4 linked regions of the Sus scrofa genome follow. The protein of the gene in region 2 interacts with the protein of the main gene of each other region in a pairwise test. Links are inferred from orthologs where the notes say so. Each region holds a gene or a part of one and is shown on either strand. Other genes may lie near its edges. The genes, in order: MAPK9, ARRB2, ADRB2 and AGTR1.

Region 1 (3,589 bases), on a different chromosome or scaffold from region 2:
CCAGTTAGATTCATTTTGGCTTAGCTACAACGGGAACTCCCAGAATCTTTTTCTATGCTAGTAATTTTTAATCTAATGTTTGAAAAAGTTAGCAAAATTATCTTTGGAAATGATGTAATCTCCATATGTGTTTTGAGAATGACATTAGGTGACCTTATATATAAAATTATTAATTACTGACATTGCAATATATTAATATGTAAATTAAGAATTTAAAATTACTTAATAATGCACCAAAAAGTTCCCATACTTTTCATTTCTGTACCTCCTAAAGAAAACGTTTAATAAAAAAGGAAAGATGCAAAATGAATAAAAATTAAGACAAATGAATACTAAGTAGATACTTCTAAGTAGTATCTTTAGAATACATCAACTTTTCCCTTTTTAAGTGAATTTATTTGCAAATTAAAGATCCCCTTATTTGCAGTTTGAAGTAGCTGAATCTAAGGTCAGAGTATGGAAAATTGCTAGAAAATTTATTGGAACAAAATAAATGCTATATTTACCTTCACATAAAATCTGTGATGTGAAAAATGTCAAGGAAGGTAAATAAAACGATAGGAAAAAAATCTTTTCATTCCAAGTTGGTGTTCGAAGAATTTACATTACAAGAAAACCACCCTCATAAAATTATAAAAAACTAAAATTACTTTAATAAAATACATTAAAAACATCGACTACACAACTTGATTTCTTTTAAAGATAACCATCAATCTGCCAGCAGACAGAGACCACTTTAGGCTTTCATAACAAAAAACAAAATCAAAAGACTAATGAAAATTTTAAGTGGTTAGAACACAAATGGAAAAGGGTATATGTGAAGTACCATGTTAGAGTAAAAAATATTGAAGATGGAAGAATATGAGGAATATGAGAAAAGAAAGCTATTGTAACTATCATATATCTATTCTCCTTTATGCTATACATCGTTGATATGATTTGTTGACCACAATATAAGTTAATCTTATATTTATTTAGACTTCCCCAATGTGTCACAAAATAACCTTCTAAGTGGATCTTCTAAAATTTTCTACAGAATGTCAGAAGGGTAACAAATAAAAAAATTGAGTACATATTGTTCCTCACAAACTTTTCACTTTAATCTTTTCATGTAGGTCTTATGCAGTGTGCTTTATCTGGTTCTTAGTTTGGGGAGAAATATTTGAATGCATCCTGGTAACTAACGAAATAGTTTATTAAACAAATAACATTAAGAATACTGGCCTATGAAATTTAGACAACTTCGTAGTTAAACTAATAGGATGAACTAAATAAATATTATTTTCATTTAAATAGCAAAATACATTTGTCAAAGAGTAAGTTTCTTACAAGTTATTTGTAATAAAACTAAGAACTAATATAAATTGGTTTAACTTAATTCTATGCCTCAATAAAACCATTACAGGTAGTCAAGTAAAAAAGAAAACAGAAAATGGAACCATTTGGTTTGTGACACTAATTTAACAAACACAATCAAGACCTCCTTAGAACACAGTCTAGAATTAACATTTTCCTTCTGAGCTCCTGCTGCCTTTGGTGTTTATGGAAAGCATGGCCGGGAAGGTCCCCGGGAAGGATACGATCAGTGCCTTGGAATATCACACAACCTTTCACCAGCTCTCCCATGATGCAACCCACTGACCAGATATCAACTGAAAATAAAATGAAATGACAAAATTATGAAGTGCCATGAACAAAACAAAGGTGAGGAAAAGGAATTCTAACAGTATACTAAACACACAAATATGGAAAATAAATTGCTCATTAAGGGTGAACTTTTTACACAGTATGAAAGATTGCTGATCTCTATTTTGGCCTTCAGTTTGCAGCAATCTGGGCTTTTAGTGCCAAAGAGCCCAATACTTTACAGTTTCAAAAACAAAGCCCCAGAAATAAGAAGTGCTTATCCCCACGAAGATGTTTCTAGGCAAAGGCCCACCCCCACCCCCCAGCCCTTGTGGCCAGTGCCAGGTCTCTCCCTGTGAAGGATACAGTCTCTTCCTGGGAACAGGACTTTATGGAGGACCATTTCTGCCATGATGCACCCGACAGACCAGATGTCCACTACCAAACACCAGGTGATTAAAACCAGCCAGAGACCCCCACAAGCCTTTTCTCAAACCCTCCTCCCAAACAAAGACAAACCCAGCTTGTCAGCAAGACTTTTGTAAAATATGAATACTAAACCTCCAGAATGAACCTTTTCTAAACTGTCAAGTCAGCAGGGCCTCATGGGGACAGGCTTATCTGGGCTCCAGATGAGGCCAGGTCAGAGGTGACCTAACTTCTGGCCGTTCACCCTCTTTCGTGGGGTCCAGCTCAACCCCAGGCCTCAGATGCCAGGGCAGAGGGCTGTTTAGTGCCCCTGCTGGTGGGGGTCGGGTGGGAGAAGCTAACAGGGGATCTGATTTTCTCTCATGTCCACGGGGGAATGGAAGCCCACAGAGCTGTGTCTCTCAGAATGGGAACACAGGTTATAAAACATCTGAATAAACTTGAGGTGCAACTCATTTCATATGACTTGGGCAAGCTTTCAGACTCCTTTTTTCTTAACAAGGAAATGTGATTTAGTCAAAAGTCAAATTTAGACAAACTTGTCAAAAGCTAAGTTTCTAAGAGCTCTGATATTGTTAGAATAAGTTTTGTTGTTAAAAAAATACCAATTTTAGAAATATATTGGTACCATATATTTAGAAAATTTCATGGCATTACAGTAGTAAATCAACTAAAATATTAGTAGGATAATAACAACTACACCTCTCCTCAAAAAAAAAACTACCAATTCTATACATAAAAAGCACATTTTGTATTCTATTTATATCAAGTTTAAAAATAAGCAAAACCAATCTATGGTGCTGGAAATCAGGATAATGGCTTCCCTCAGGGGCTGAGACCCAAAGAGGGTCCGGAGAGTCTGGGGTGCCGCTGGTTATGTGGGTGTGCTCCGACCGAGCTGCCCACTAGGGATTTGCATACCTCCTTGTAAGTGTGTTATGCTTTGATAAATGTTCAAAAATATTAATCTCAAAAGTGAATTTTTAAAGTGAATAATTTTAACTGAAGGAAATATAAAATTAATTATTTCTCATCTGTGAACTACCATAAGCTATGTATAATACAGTCTCCATATTATATTCCATATAGTTCACAGGAAAGGGAAAAAAACTAGTGATGGCTAATAGCACTCTTTCTAAACATCTCAGCCTCTTTCAGTTCTGTCTGTACTCACCGTTCTCTTTATAGCCCATGCCCAGGATGACTTCTGGTGCCCGATAATACCGTGTCACCACATAGGGGGTCATCATAAAGTTGGTGCATGCTGTGCGGGCCAGGCCAAAGTCAAGAATCTTAAGGGTGCAATCTGATTTTACTACAATGTTGCTAGGTTTCAAATCCTAGGATAGAAATGGTTTAAATTAGAAAAATGAACCAAAGCATGCTAAGTAAACAATCTCACATTGGTAAGGATTTGTGAGGTCAGTGACTACTGAAGCATGTGAGAACGCCAGAAGGAGCAAAGTTAGAATCGAACCCTGGGATTTTTGGAACCATTTTGGAAAATTCTACCACACTGAATGTAAATGGATTA
Region 2 (3,133 bases):
AGTGTCTTGGACTTGTCCACAGCAGCACCACTGCCTTCGGCTGCCCAGAGCTTTGGCTTCTGTGTGCAGTCTAAGGACCAGGCTCCTGGGAGGTGTCTGCCAGGTGGCTTCTGCCGCTGAGGCCCGCAGCTGCGGTTCCACCAAGCCCCAGGAATGGACCGCTTGATCGACCAGAAGGAGCAGTGGAAACAAACACTCGGTCACAAGTCACCACGCAGTCATGTGTGTCAGCCGCGACGGGGAAGGGCCTGCCCTGCCCAGTCCCAAGAGCATCCCATCTGCAGGAACGTGAGCTATTACTCCCTCTGTGAATGAATGAGTTTACTTTGTGGCTTACCACATTGTGCCCTTGAGTTTGGACTGACCACATCAAGTTTCCATGTTTACCGTGGAACTCAGGTACAGCTCAGCCATTCAGGAAACGTGTACTGACAGCCTGGGGGCCTGGTGACATGTGGGGACAGAGAAGGGATGGGGCACAATGGACAGTCGTGGACGAGCACACGAAGTCCTCCTTAAACGTGCCGTAGAAAACACACACACGCGCGTGCCTATTAAAAGGTTTATTTTCTTCTTTAGCCTCAGAAACAAAGTGGCCTTGCCCCCCAGAGGGTCTCATCCTGAAGGAATGGGAGGCAGAGGTGGTGACAGGCAGGGGTGTCGGGGTGAGGTTGAATGTGGGAGCTCGTCCTCCCCCTTTCCCTGCTGTCACGCCTCTCCAGTGGCCCCTCCACAAAACTTAGGTATGAACACAGCGTGCCACCCGCTGCGGGGTTGGGGAAGCCCAGCTGTCGTGGAAAGATTAATGCCCATGTTCCCCAAGAGATGGGTCCAGTGCGTCTCTGGTGGGGAGGGGGAGGCGGGCTGGTCGCGGCAGCCGCCCAGGGAGAGGGGAGGGCAGGGGAAGAGAGGCTGGAGCCCCCGGTGCCAGCGGGGTCTCGGTCCTGCCCCTCCCTCTCCCAGCACCATCCACTCCCTTCTGCCAGCCGCCCCCCGCTGCCGCCGCCGCCTAGCAGAACTGGTCTTCGCCGTCCTCGTCCTTCATCCCCTTCAGCCGGAGCCGGGCAAAGTCCTCGAACACGATGTCGTCGTCCGTGGCATAGCTTGGTGTGGAGGGAGGGGGTGAGGCGAGGGCTCCTGACCCTCTTCTCCACCCCCACCCCCCCAGAGACAGAGGCGTTAGAGCAGCAATGGGACTGGAGGTGTTGGCAGGAAGGGACCCGGAAGAGGTGGCCATGGGCAGCTCGCAAGGCTGCCTCATCTCGCTTGGATGCTTCGACCACCCCCCCCACAAGAGGAAAAAATGGGTAGATGTGAATGTAAGGCATCTCCGACCAAGGGGCGTCAGAGCTGGGGCCGAGGCGTGTCTTACTTGGTATCAAATTCAATGAGGTTGGTGTCCACCGGGACGTCTGTTTCTGGCGCAGCTGAGGGGAGAAGGAAGGAGGGGGGGTGGGTGGGTGCTGAAAGGACCCGCCTTGTCTCCACTGGCCCTGCTTCGGGCCCGCTCTCTGGGGGCTGGGGCGGGTGGCAGGCTCACCTGACTGGGGTCTGGGGAGGGTGATGTGCTCCTGGGGCTTGGGGTGCATGAGAACAAAAGGCAGCTCCACGGAGACATCTCTGAGGGGGGGGAGAGGCGGCATGAAGAGAGGCCCGTGCAGAGCCCCCGACCCCCAGGCTCCCACCCGCAGCACTCACCCGCCTCGAGACACCACCAGCTTCACCTTGACCCTGTAGGACACGAGGATTCCCAGCACCTCCTTGTTGGCACCCTCCTTCACGCTGCGGGGGGGAGGCGGGGGGGGGAGTTGGACCAGAGCCCACGGCCTCCTCGCACCCTAGCCCACCCTGGGGGCCTCCACGGGGATTCTGAGCAGGAATCCCCGGCTCCAGCAGCACGGGCTGTTGCCGTGTAACGTACCCCATCCATCTTCGTCTCGCTCTCTCGGTCACAGCCCACGTCCTTGGGACCCATCAGCCCTGCACTGACCTGCTTTCCCTCAGCCCTCTGACCGCACCTCCTGCTCCCACGCTGGCCTGCCGTGTGTGGTCAGGCACAGGGCGCAGGGCCCGGGGGTGAAATCCGCCCCCACTCTGTGCAGCTGTACCTGCTCCAAAGACAGGGGCCCTCTCGCCTGACACCTCTGCAGCCCTGCTGCCTTTGTGTCCTTACTCCAAGTCGCCTCTGGATTTTGCCTTTTCTGGCCACCCTCTGTAAAGTCACCCCCCCCTTGATACCTCCCTTCTCTGCCTGCCTTTTTCTCAACAGCTGGCACTAAACATGCTGTATATTTTGCCATTTATCTGGTTTGCCTGGCCTCCTCCCTGAGAACGTAAGAGATCTTTTGGGTCTGTTCTGCTCCCTGATGGGGCCGTGGCCCCGGGGACAGAGCCTGGCACACGGCTGGCACGGAATGAGTGTCTCCTGTGCTGTAGGACCCCCCACCCCCACCCCCTCGTCCCCTCACATGGTGCTGGACGCCAGGTTGGTGTCCTCATGCTTGAGCTTCCCGTCCAGGGCGAGACCGCGCTTCTCTCGGTTGTTGCTGAGCAGGGGGGTTATGGTGTACACCTTACAGAACGTGGAACTGGGCGACACCTGGTCACTGGGGCAGGGGGACACGAGAAGGAAACTCTGGGAAGGGCCAGGCGGGCGGAGGGGGTGGCTCCCACCCCCAAGCGGCTTCTGCCCCATCACCGGCCCCTTCTCCCTTTGGCCTTGGGTCACGGGCTCAACCCGCTCCAGAACATGAGCGGCTCAGAGCCCCCAACGGGAGGGAATGTGCTTGGAAGCGGAGACAGCGGGGAAGGACTCCCGCCTTCCTCACACTCCGGGGCCCCTCTTCCCCCCTGACCAGGGGGACCCAGGGCTCTTCTGCTACTCACTCTTGTTCGAGCTGAGCCACGGGGCACTTGTACTGGGCCGTGCTGAAGAGGCAGATGTCCGCGTACTGTCTCACTGTGGGGCGGGGCCAAGCAGCTCTGCATGGAGTGTAGACAGCAGCCCACCCAACTCCAGCCCGCGCCCCCCCCCCCCGCAAGGACCCCAGGTCCTGGCCCTTTAGCATCCCTGCCTGAGGACATGTGCCCCCCACCCCCCCATCCTGGGACAGCCTGCATTCCTTGAGCCCCC
Region 3 (4,310 bases), on a different chromosome or scaffold from region 2:
CCAAAGCTGCCCCTCAAATCCCTGCCTACAACACCCCGTTTGAGCAAATAAGAGGGGTGGAGAGAGTCCATGTTCACAGCTGAAAGGTCCGAGAGACTCAAGATCCTCCAGTCCAAGGGTGCAGGAAGGAAGGTCTCCTTCAGAAACAAATTGCCAGCAGCAATATATTACCCCTAATACTTGATCAATGAGGTAGATATGCGGAAAAGTCATCAAAACATACCAGCCCCACGTCCTCTGGGACCGAAGGCCTGCAGACATAAACTTACACAAGTTCCATGCAAAGAGGAACTGAACTGTACAAGAAACAATCACTCAAATAATGTTTTCTCTTTTTTACAACTTAAAAAAATAAAAAATAAAAAGGCAGAAGGATGTTCCTCCTCCTGCACATCTCTATAGACGTTCATTCTAAATTCATCACACTCGAGTTGTTTAGTGTTTGGCTGGGAGGGAAAGGGGCGCTTAGAAAGTAGACACCTGCATCACAGCATGGAGTCATTTGTACTACAGTTCCTCCCCTGTGAATCAGTGCTATCATCGGGCACAGTACCTTGCCGGTGTGCACAGCCTTCCGGGCCTGGGGGCTCCTCACACAGCCGTTCGCTGTCTTTCTCCTCCCCCAGGTAACAGCCACTCTGTTCCCCTGTGTAGTCAGTCCTACCGTTGCTGTTGCTGGAGCAGCCGTTCCCATAGGCCTTCAGGGAAGACCTGTGCAGGCACAGAAGCTCCTGGAAGGCCATCCTGAAATCTGGACTCCGGCAGTAGATGAGGGGGTTGAACGCCGAGTTGACGTAGCCCACCCAGTTTAGCAGGATGTAAACTTCCTTGGGGATGAGGTTGTCATGGATCCCGTGCACAATGTTGACGATGAAGAAGGGCAGCCAGCACAGGGTGAACGTCCCCATGATGATCCCTAGCGTCTTGAGGGCTTTGTGTTCCTTCAAGCAGAACTTGGAGGACCTCCGATGTCCCGGCCCGCTCCGCCCATCCTGCTCCGCTTGGCTGAGGTTCTGGGCGTGGAAGCGGCCCTCAGACTTGTCGATCTTCTGGAGCTGCCTTCTGGCTACTTGAAAGACCCTGGAGTAGACGAAGACCATGACTACCAGGGGCAGGTAGAAGGACACGATGGAAGAGGCGATGGCGTAAGGCTGGTTGGTGAAGAAGTCGCAGCAGGCCTCCTCTGCATAGCAGTTTAAGGCTTCCCGGTGGGTGGCCTGGTACCAGTGCATCTTAATGGGTAAGAAGGAGATAAGGCCCGACACGACCCACACCATCAGAATGACCACCCGGGCCTTGTTCTTGGTCAGCAGGCACTGGTACTTGAAGGGGGACGTGATGGCAAGGTAGCGATCCACGGCGATCACGCACAGGGTCTCAATGCTGGCCGTGACGCACAGCACGTCAATGGAAATCCAAAACTCGCACCAGAAACTGCCGAAAGTCCACATTTTCATGAGGATGTGGCTGGCCCCAAAGGGCACCACCGCCAGGCCCATGACCAAGTCAGCACAGGCCAGGGAGGTGATGAAGTAGTTGGTGACCGTCTGGAGACGCTCGAACTTGGCGATGGCTGTGATGACCAGCACGTTTCCAAACACGATGGCCAGGACAATGAGCGACATGACGATGGCCATGCCCACCACCCATGCCTCGTTCCGCTCCTGTGGGACGTCCTGGTCCGGCGCATGGCTTCCGTTGGGCGCCAGCAAGAAGACGCTGCGGTTCCCGGGCTGCCCCATGGCGCGCAGGCGGGCAGGTGAGCGCGCTGGCAGCCGGCGCACCCGCCGCGCCTCAGCGGGCCGACCTCCGGCGGGGGGCTGCGGGCAGCGAGCGGGCGCCTAGAAGCCTCATTCAGCGGCCGTGGGGTGGGTGTGGAGGGGGCGCGTGGTGCACTCAGCTCCCGGGGTGCTCGAGGCTCGCAGTGCCGGCGGGTCTCTGCCTGCGCTCCGGAGAAGCCGCCTCGGAGTGCGCGCTGCCCGTTATGTGCACAGGACTTGAGGGGAACTGCCCTCCCCGTGACGTGCTCCAACTTGGGACCAATGGCGCGCGGGAAGCCCCAAAGGGGCGAGGCCCCCCCCCCCCCCCCCGCCCCTTCCCTCCCTCTCCCGCCTCCTCCTGGGGCTGGCCCGGGCGGGGCCCCGCTGCTCCCTGCCGGCCGGTCGCCACTCCCTCCAGGCTACCCAGGCTGGCCCCAGGGCTGAAGCTGAAGTTGGGGGGTGCCGCTTACCAGCGAGCTGGGAGCTGCGCAGTCTTCTGTGGCTGCTACCTGCCTGCCCGGGCTTGTCGTGAGGCCTGAGGACCCTGGGCAGAGGGTAGTGCGCAGGCACTCCCTCCTATTCGGAAATAGACGAGAATGAGAGTGCCCGCCAGGACACGCACGGACAGGCACAATTCACCTGGCAGACGTGCACGGACTTAGACGGAGCCACAGCCACCGACACGCAGACACACCCATCCAGCACACCGACAAGCACACGCGCGTGCGCGCACGGACACACACACACACACAAGCAAATCGGCGCAAAGTCAACCTTAACTAACGCAGAGACGTGGTCAGGAACAAACCCAGCAGCACCCAGAACCACAAAGTCATAGGCACACACGAAAAGAAGTAAACAACACACTAAGGGCCACGTGGAGGCAAGCCGGGAGTCACAGCCAAGGACGTCCCCACCCATGTTCTACAAACCCTTCTCCGGCACCCTGGATCTCCGTCCTTTCCTCCCCAGCATGCGGACATTTCGCATATTCCCTTTCAAACATTTGGCGAGACCTCAGGAGGTGACTTCAGCAGCTGCCCATTTCCTCAGCTCGCTCGCTGTCAAGGACTTTCGGTGCTCTCCTTGGGAATCTGCAGGCACTGAGACAGGCTTTTACGCTTGGGATTTCATTCAGACCTGGGCTATCCATGCGTGTGTTTGGGGACAGAAAGAGAAAGTTGTATGCTTTAATTTTAATTCTAGTGAGTGTGGCATCACTCCTTCATTATCTGTTCAAGTGAAAATGTACTGAAAATAGAATAATTTTTCTTTGAAGCTCTACTTCATTCATGCCTGGGCAACTAGAAAAATCATCTGCTGGGTAGTTTGGTGATCCGAGCCATATGAAATTGCTGCTATTCTATAATCTCTGCTTCTAAAACATGGCAATTTATTATGGTTCACATTACTAAGAATGTGTAACATTAAAAATGTTTTGAGGCGTTCCCGTCGTGGCGCAGTGGTTAACGAATCCGACTAGGAACCATGAGGTCGCGGGTTCCATCCCTGGCCTTGCTCAGTGGGTTAACGATCCGGTGTTGCCATGAGCTGTGGTGTGGGTCGCAGATGTGGCTCAGATCCAGCGTTGCTGTGGCTCTGGTGTAGGCTGGCAGCTACAGCTCCGATTAGACCCCTAACCTGGGAACCTCCATATGCCGCAGGTGCAGCCCAAGAAATGGCAAAATGACAAAAAAAAAAAAAAAAAAAAAAAAAAAAAAAGGTTTGAAACCACAGAAAGGAAAAGGTATTTTTTCTTAAAAAAGTCAGACCAAGCTTCAGACGAGGTCATTTTCCATGAAATATTAGCCTTTGCATCTGGCATGTGACTTCACTGTTAAAAAGAAATTAATTTTCAGGGTTTGATTTTTACATGTATTAGTAGTGTCTTTGAAGAACTGAAAGTGTTTCACTCAGTGTAACCAAACATATTTTCTAGATTACATAATAACTTAACAATGGCTAACATTTATGAAACATTCTGCTATGTGCTTTTCATGCATTATTCCATTTCATCCTTCCCACAGTCGCCTGGTGGTGTGTGTGCTGGGGTGGGTGGGGCGGATAGTTATTTTTAATTTAATTCACAAAGGGGGCTGGAAGAGGAGAATAGCTTGCCCACAGGCACAGCCTGGCAATGCCAGGCAGGAGCTGAACCCAGTTCTCCCTGATTCTAAAATCTCTTTTTTAATCCTTTCAATGTACTGCTTTACCATGTGCAGAACAGAGTGGAGGGTAGAGAAGGATTACAACTGGAATTGGAATACTGCATTCCAGTTTCTTTCTAGCTCACATTCCTTAGGCAAATCCAAAATCTGGAGCCTAATTTCCTCTATGTCTAAATGTGCAATAAAGTTGCTTCTTTTGAGCTAAATGAGAACCAAATGATGTAATGATAAATGAGATAGTGCTTTTGCAAGTAAAAACTTCACTCAAGTAGGGTTATAAATGAGATTGATATAAATTACTGAATAGTCCAGAATATGTTGTTAGTGTTCACTAGTGGACACTGAAGTACTTTAGGACAAAAGGACTTGGGCATTTACTCCA
Region 4 (3,589 bases), on a different chromosome or scaffold from region 2:
ACAATGGAGCCATAGTTGATAATAGCTAAATAGGCACAAAAGCTTTACTGCCCTTTGGAAATTGGACAGAGAAATCTTGAGCTTAGATCTCCTGTTGCTCCTCTCAAGGTTTAACATATTCTGAGGACCTTTTTGTGGAAATCAAAAATAACAGAACAAGAGTCGACTGGGAGGATGGCATTTATACTGGTAAAATTTTCCAAATCAACACATTCATTCAGTTTCTGACATGGTCCTTTGAGTGGACATCATCTATCTAATGCGAAATGTGGCAACATGTGACTCTGCTTTGTATAGGTGCAAAGGGAAAGAAAAGCTTTTGTTCAGAGCATTAGAAAAGTCAGTTCAGTCCACATAATCCATTCTCTTCTTAAATTCTAAAAAGTAGCTCGTGCTCATTTACTAGCAAAGTGTTGTAGAGGAATGTTTCTCTTGCTCTTTCTTTCACAAGATGACTTCACAGGTTTCAAGTGTGTCACTCAACTTCAGTACATGGGGCAGACTTCTTGGTGGAAGAGCTTCCATTTTCTGAGGGGCGGTAGGAAAGTGTGCTCATTTTTGTAGACAGGCTTGAGTGGGATTTGGCCTTTGGAGGAATGTATTTCAGAAGCTGGAGAAAATATTTTTTAAATTTTTTCCCCAGAAAGCCATAAAAGAGAGGATTCAGGCAGTTGTTAAAATACGCCAAGCAAATAGTGATGGGCATGGCGGTGTCGACAATATCTGCAATTTTACAGTCATGTATGATGCCCAACTGAATCAGTACATCCAGAAAAGTGAATATTTGGTGGGGAACCCACGAAAAGAAAAAGAAAAGCACAATTGCCATAATTATCTTGAAAATATCATCATTTCTTGGTTTGTTCTTCTGAATTTCATAAGCCTTCTTTAGGGCTTTCCAAATAAGAGTATAACTTGTAAGGATGATCAGAAAAGGAAACAGGAAACCCAGTATATTCTTGGTTAGGCCCAGACCTACAGGGAGTGTTGAATTTTGGGATTCATAGTGGAAAGCACAAACTGTGATATTGGTATTTTCGATGAAAAATACATTGCGGTGGATTATAGTTGGCAAACTGGCCAAGCCAGCCAGCAGCCAAATAATGATGCAGGTGACTTTGGCCACAAGCATTGTGCGTCGAAGGCGGGACTTCATTGGATGTACGATAGCCAGGTAGCGATCAATGCTTAGACATGTGAGTAGAAACACACTGGCATAGAGGTTGAAACTGACACTGGCTGAAGCGATCTTACATAGGTAATTGCCAAAGGGCCAGCGGTATTCCATAGCAGTGTAGACAGCCCACAGTGGCAAAGTCAGTAAAAAGCATAAGTCAGCTAGTGCTAAATTCAAAAGAAAAACACTGGCCACAGTCTTCAGTTTCATGTAAAAGTAAATGACAATTACCACCAAACTGTTCCCAAATATTCCCACCACAAAGATAATACTGTATAAAGTAGGGATCATGACAAATATGTAATTATGCCTTCCAGCTTTGGGGCAGTCATCTTGGATTCTTTTAATACTATCTTCTGTGGAAGAGTTGAGGATCATTTTGATCTCCTGGGTTAATTAGTCTCAGACACTACGCCAAATGCACCTGGGAAAAATAAAAATGAAAAAGTAAAAAAAAAAATTCTAACTTACAGTTGTAAACAAATAGTTTTAATTCTCAATCAAAAGTAACTCTATTTTTAGGGAAAAATATAGATCATGTGTTCTGGAGAAAATCTGTGCACACTTAAGTTTTGAACATATTGCTTTTCTAGAAAGTGGTAAATATTCTCTAGACAAGTGGTAGTGGGGTCCTATGTGACTACTCAGTTGAGATCCTTTGCATTTTTTTTCTGGAAGGAAATCCTACCTTCCAAATTGATAAAAAAACACAATCTAAAGCTCAGAAAATACTACTGAATTAAATTAGTTATTCAGAAAGACTTGAGTTTTTCCTGAGGTAAGCAAGGCTAATTAATTTGTATTTAACTTCAGAAAGGTGACACGTCCATATCCGATTCTTTGAACCATTTTTTTTTTCATATTACAATCTTAGGTATAAATATTATTAGCATTCTCACTTTAGTGGTCTGAATAACTGCTATAGCTTACTGAGGAATCGTGGTCATTGTGAGGATTGATTTAGGAGAGGATAAAAGGCAGGGCTCAAGGCTTTAGTGTACATATGCTTTCCATAATTTTCCAGGTCACTACAGGCAATAACCACTTATTCCTTAACTTTCAACTCAGTCTAGCAAAAGGGCCTGAATCTCCTAATTTTTATACCTACAAGCCATTTCTGGAGGTAACTCTGAGCTTAACCATTTATCTAACAAGGATGTCAAATGAATAGATTAGATCAGGCTTATCAATAAAACATGTGTTTTTTGGAGGCTCAAGACAGCAGAAGTTTTTCAGGGTTTTAGAAAGAATCAGATGCTGGAATGAGTGCTATGAAGATGTCTGCACATATTTTCTCCAATATTTTACATAATTAACAATCAAGCTATTCATTTGTGTGGTTTAGAAAAAAAAACATATTTTGCCCTAGACAAGGGTTCATTAAAAAACCCTTGGAAGGAGGCTGAAGATGCTATGAGGGTAACATGGCAGGATGTGGCACAGGCAGACCCTGAGGTGAAGGCCCGCACTAGACGCAGGCGAGGCTGGCCAGCAGGGTAGTGGTATTGGGTAAAAATCCTATTGTTCCACCAGAAGCAGGTCCCTAGATGAGCCGGTGTGCATTTCCCTTACCTTGTGTCCTGGGTAAGAAGAGGAATAAGAATAAGACACTACTAATCTGCCCAGGATAGCTGTGCTTGGCATTGGGAGAGCTGGATAAACATGCATGCCTAAGGCAGTGTCTCTCTTGGTGCAAAGTGGTGCTGTGAAAGGGATGACACTCAAGTAGCCAGATTCTGAGAGATAACACTGGGAAAAGAGGGTTCTTAAGTGGCCTCTTTGCCTCCCCCAAGGAGGCAGTTTTTCTCCCTATCCAAGTTTTTGGCTCTGCATCCTCATTATCTTCTCCTTTTGTACTTGTAACTATATAATCTAAATCACTTCCTTTTCTTTTTTCTTTTCCATTTAGGGGTTGCATGAGCATCCACAAACAGGCACTGTCACATCCTCTATGGAACCTTTCTGACTTGTCTGGGCAATTGGCTGTTCCATTTTCTGAGCTGCTTTGGCACTTTGGATGTGGTTTTGAGCTATATATTGTAATGGTCTATTGATATAGGTCTTATCCACTGATTTGTCAGCTGCTTGAGGTTAAGGCCTGTTTCAAATCATCTTGTTTATTACTAGGGTAGGCCCTGGCACCTTCCAGGAGGCAGATGATAAATATATGATGAATAAGAGACCAAGTGCACAAATGAATGAATGAATAGTATATCACTTAAAGCTGTAAGCAGAGAGTATTAAGACTAATTTCCAAGGGCTAATAGACTCAATTTACATTCTACTCCCAAAGAATATGACAGAAAGTACTCAGTGTCAACATGGGCTTCATCGTGAAGCCAAACTCAAACCCAAAGCCAAACCCAACCAAACCAAGCTAAAAATATCAACAGCAACAACAACAACAACAAA

Evidence for each region.
Region 1: the proteins of ARRB2 (region 2) and MAPK9 interact in binary tests that used the Homo sapiens proteins (3 or more experiments, as listed by UniProt). The two-hybrid records come from large-scale screens. The link is inferred for Sus scrofa from reciprocal best matches to the Homo sapiens genes ARRB2 and MAPK9.
Region 3: the proteins of ARRB2 (region 2) and ADRB2 interact in binary tests that used the Homo sapiens proteins (3 or more experiments, as listed by UniProt). The link is inferred for Sus scrofa from reciprocal best matches to the Homo sapiens genes ARRB2 and ADRB2.
Region 4: the proteins of ARRB2 (region 2) and AGTR1 interact in a two-hybrid assay, tested with the Homo sapiens proteins (2 studies listed by BioGRID and IntAct, with this or other methods). The link is inferred for Sus scrofa from reciprocal best matches to the Homo sapiens genes ARRB2 and AGTR1.

Annotation. Positions count from the first base shown.
Region 1 is NC_010444.4:78,379,954-78,383,542, reverse strand, and holds part of MAPK9 (mitogen-activated protein kinase 9), read right to left. Parts: intron 3,396-3,589; coding exon 3,230-3,395; intron 2,065-3,229; coding exon 1,993-2,064; intron 1,653-1,992; coding exon of another isoform or gene 1,581-1,652; intron 1-1,580. UniProt on the Homo sapiens protein: Serine/threonine-protein kinase involved in various processes such as cell proliferation, differentiation, migration, transformation and programmed cell death.
Region 2 is NC_010454.4:52,161,228-52,164,360, forward strand, and holds the end of ARRB2 (beta-arrestin-2), read right to left. Parts: coding exon 2,887-3,133; intron 2,607-2,886; coding exon 2,469-2,606; intron 1,783-2,468; coding exon 1,699-1,782; intron 1,621-1,698; coding exon 1,541-1,620; intron 1,464-1,540; coding exon of another isoform or gene 1,428-1,463; coding exon 1,373-1,427; intron 1,104-1,372; coding exon 1,010-1,103; 3' UTR 549-1,009; downstream 1-548. UniProt on the Homo sapiens protein: Functions in regulating agonist-mediated G-protein coupled receptor (GPCR) signaling by mediating both receptor desensitization and resensitization processes.
Region 3 is NC_010444.4:150,031,228-150,035,537, reverse strand, and holds the start of ADRB2 (beta-2 adrenergic receptor), read right to left. Parts: upstream 2,890-4,310; 5' UTR 2,231-2,889; intron 1,976-2,230; 5' UTR 1,743-1,975; coding exon 486-1,742; 3' UTR 1-485. UniProt on the Homo sapiens protein: Beta-adrenergic receptors mediate the catecholamine-induced activation of adenylate cyclase through the action of G proteins. The beta-2-adrenergic receptor binds epinephrine with an approximately 30-fold greater affinity than it does norepinephrine.
Region 4 is NC_010455.5:88,976,347-88,979,935, reverse strand, and holds part of AGTR1 (type-1 angiotensin II receptor), read right to left. Parts: intron 1,602-3,589; 5' UTR 1,556-1,601; coding exon 476-1,555; 3' UTR 1-475. UniProt on the Homo sapiens protein: Receptor for angiotensin II, a vasoconstricting peptide, which acts as a key regulator of blood pressure and sodium retention by the kidney.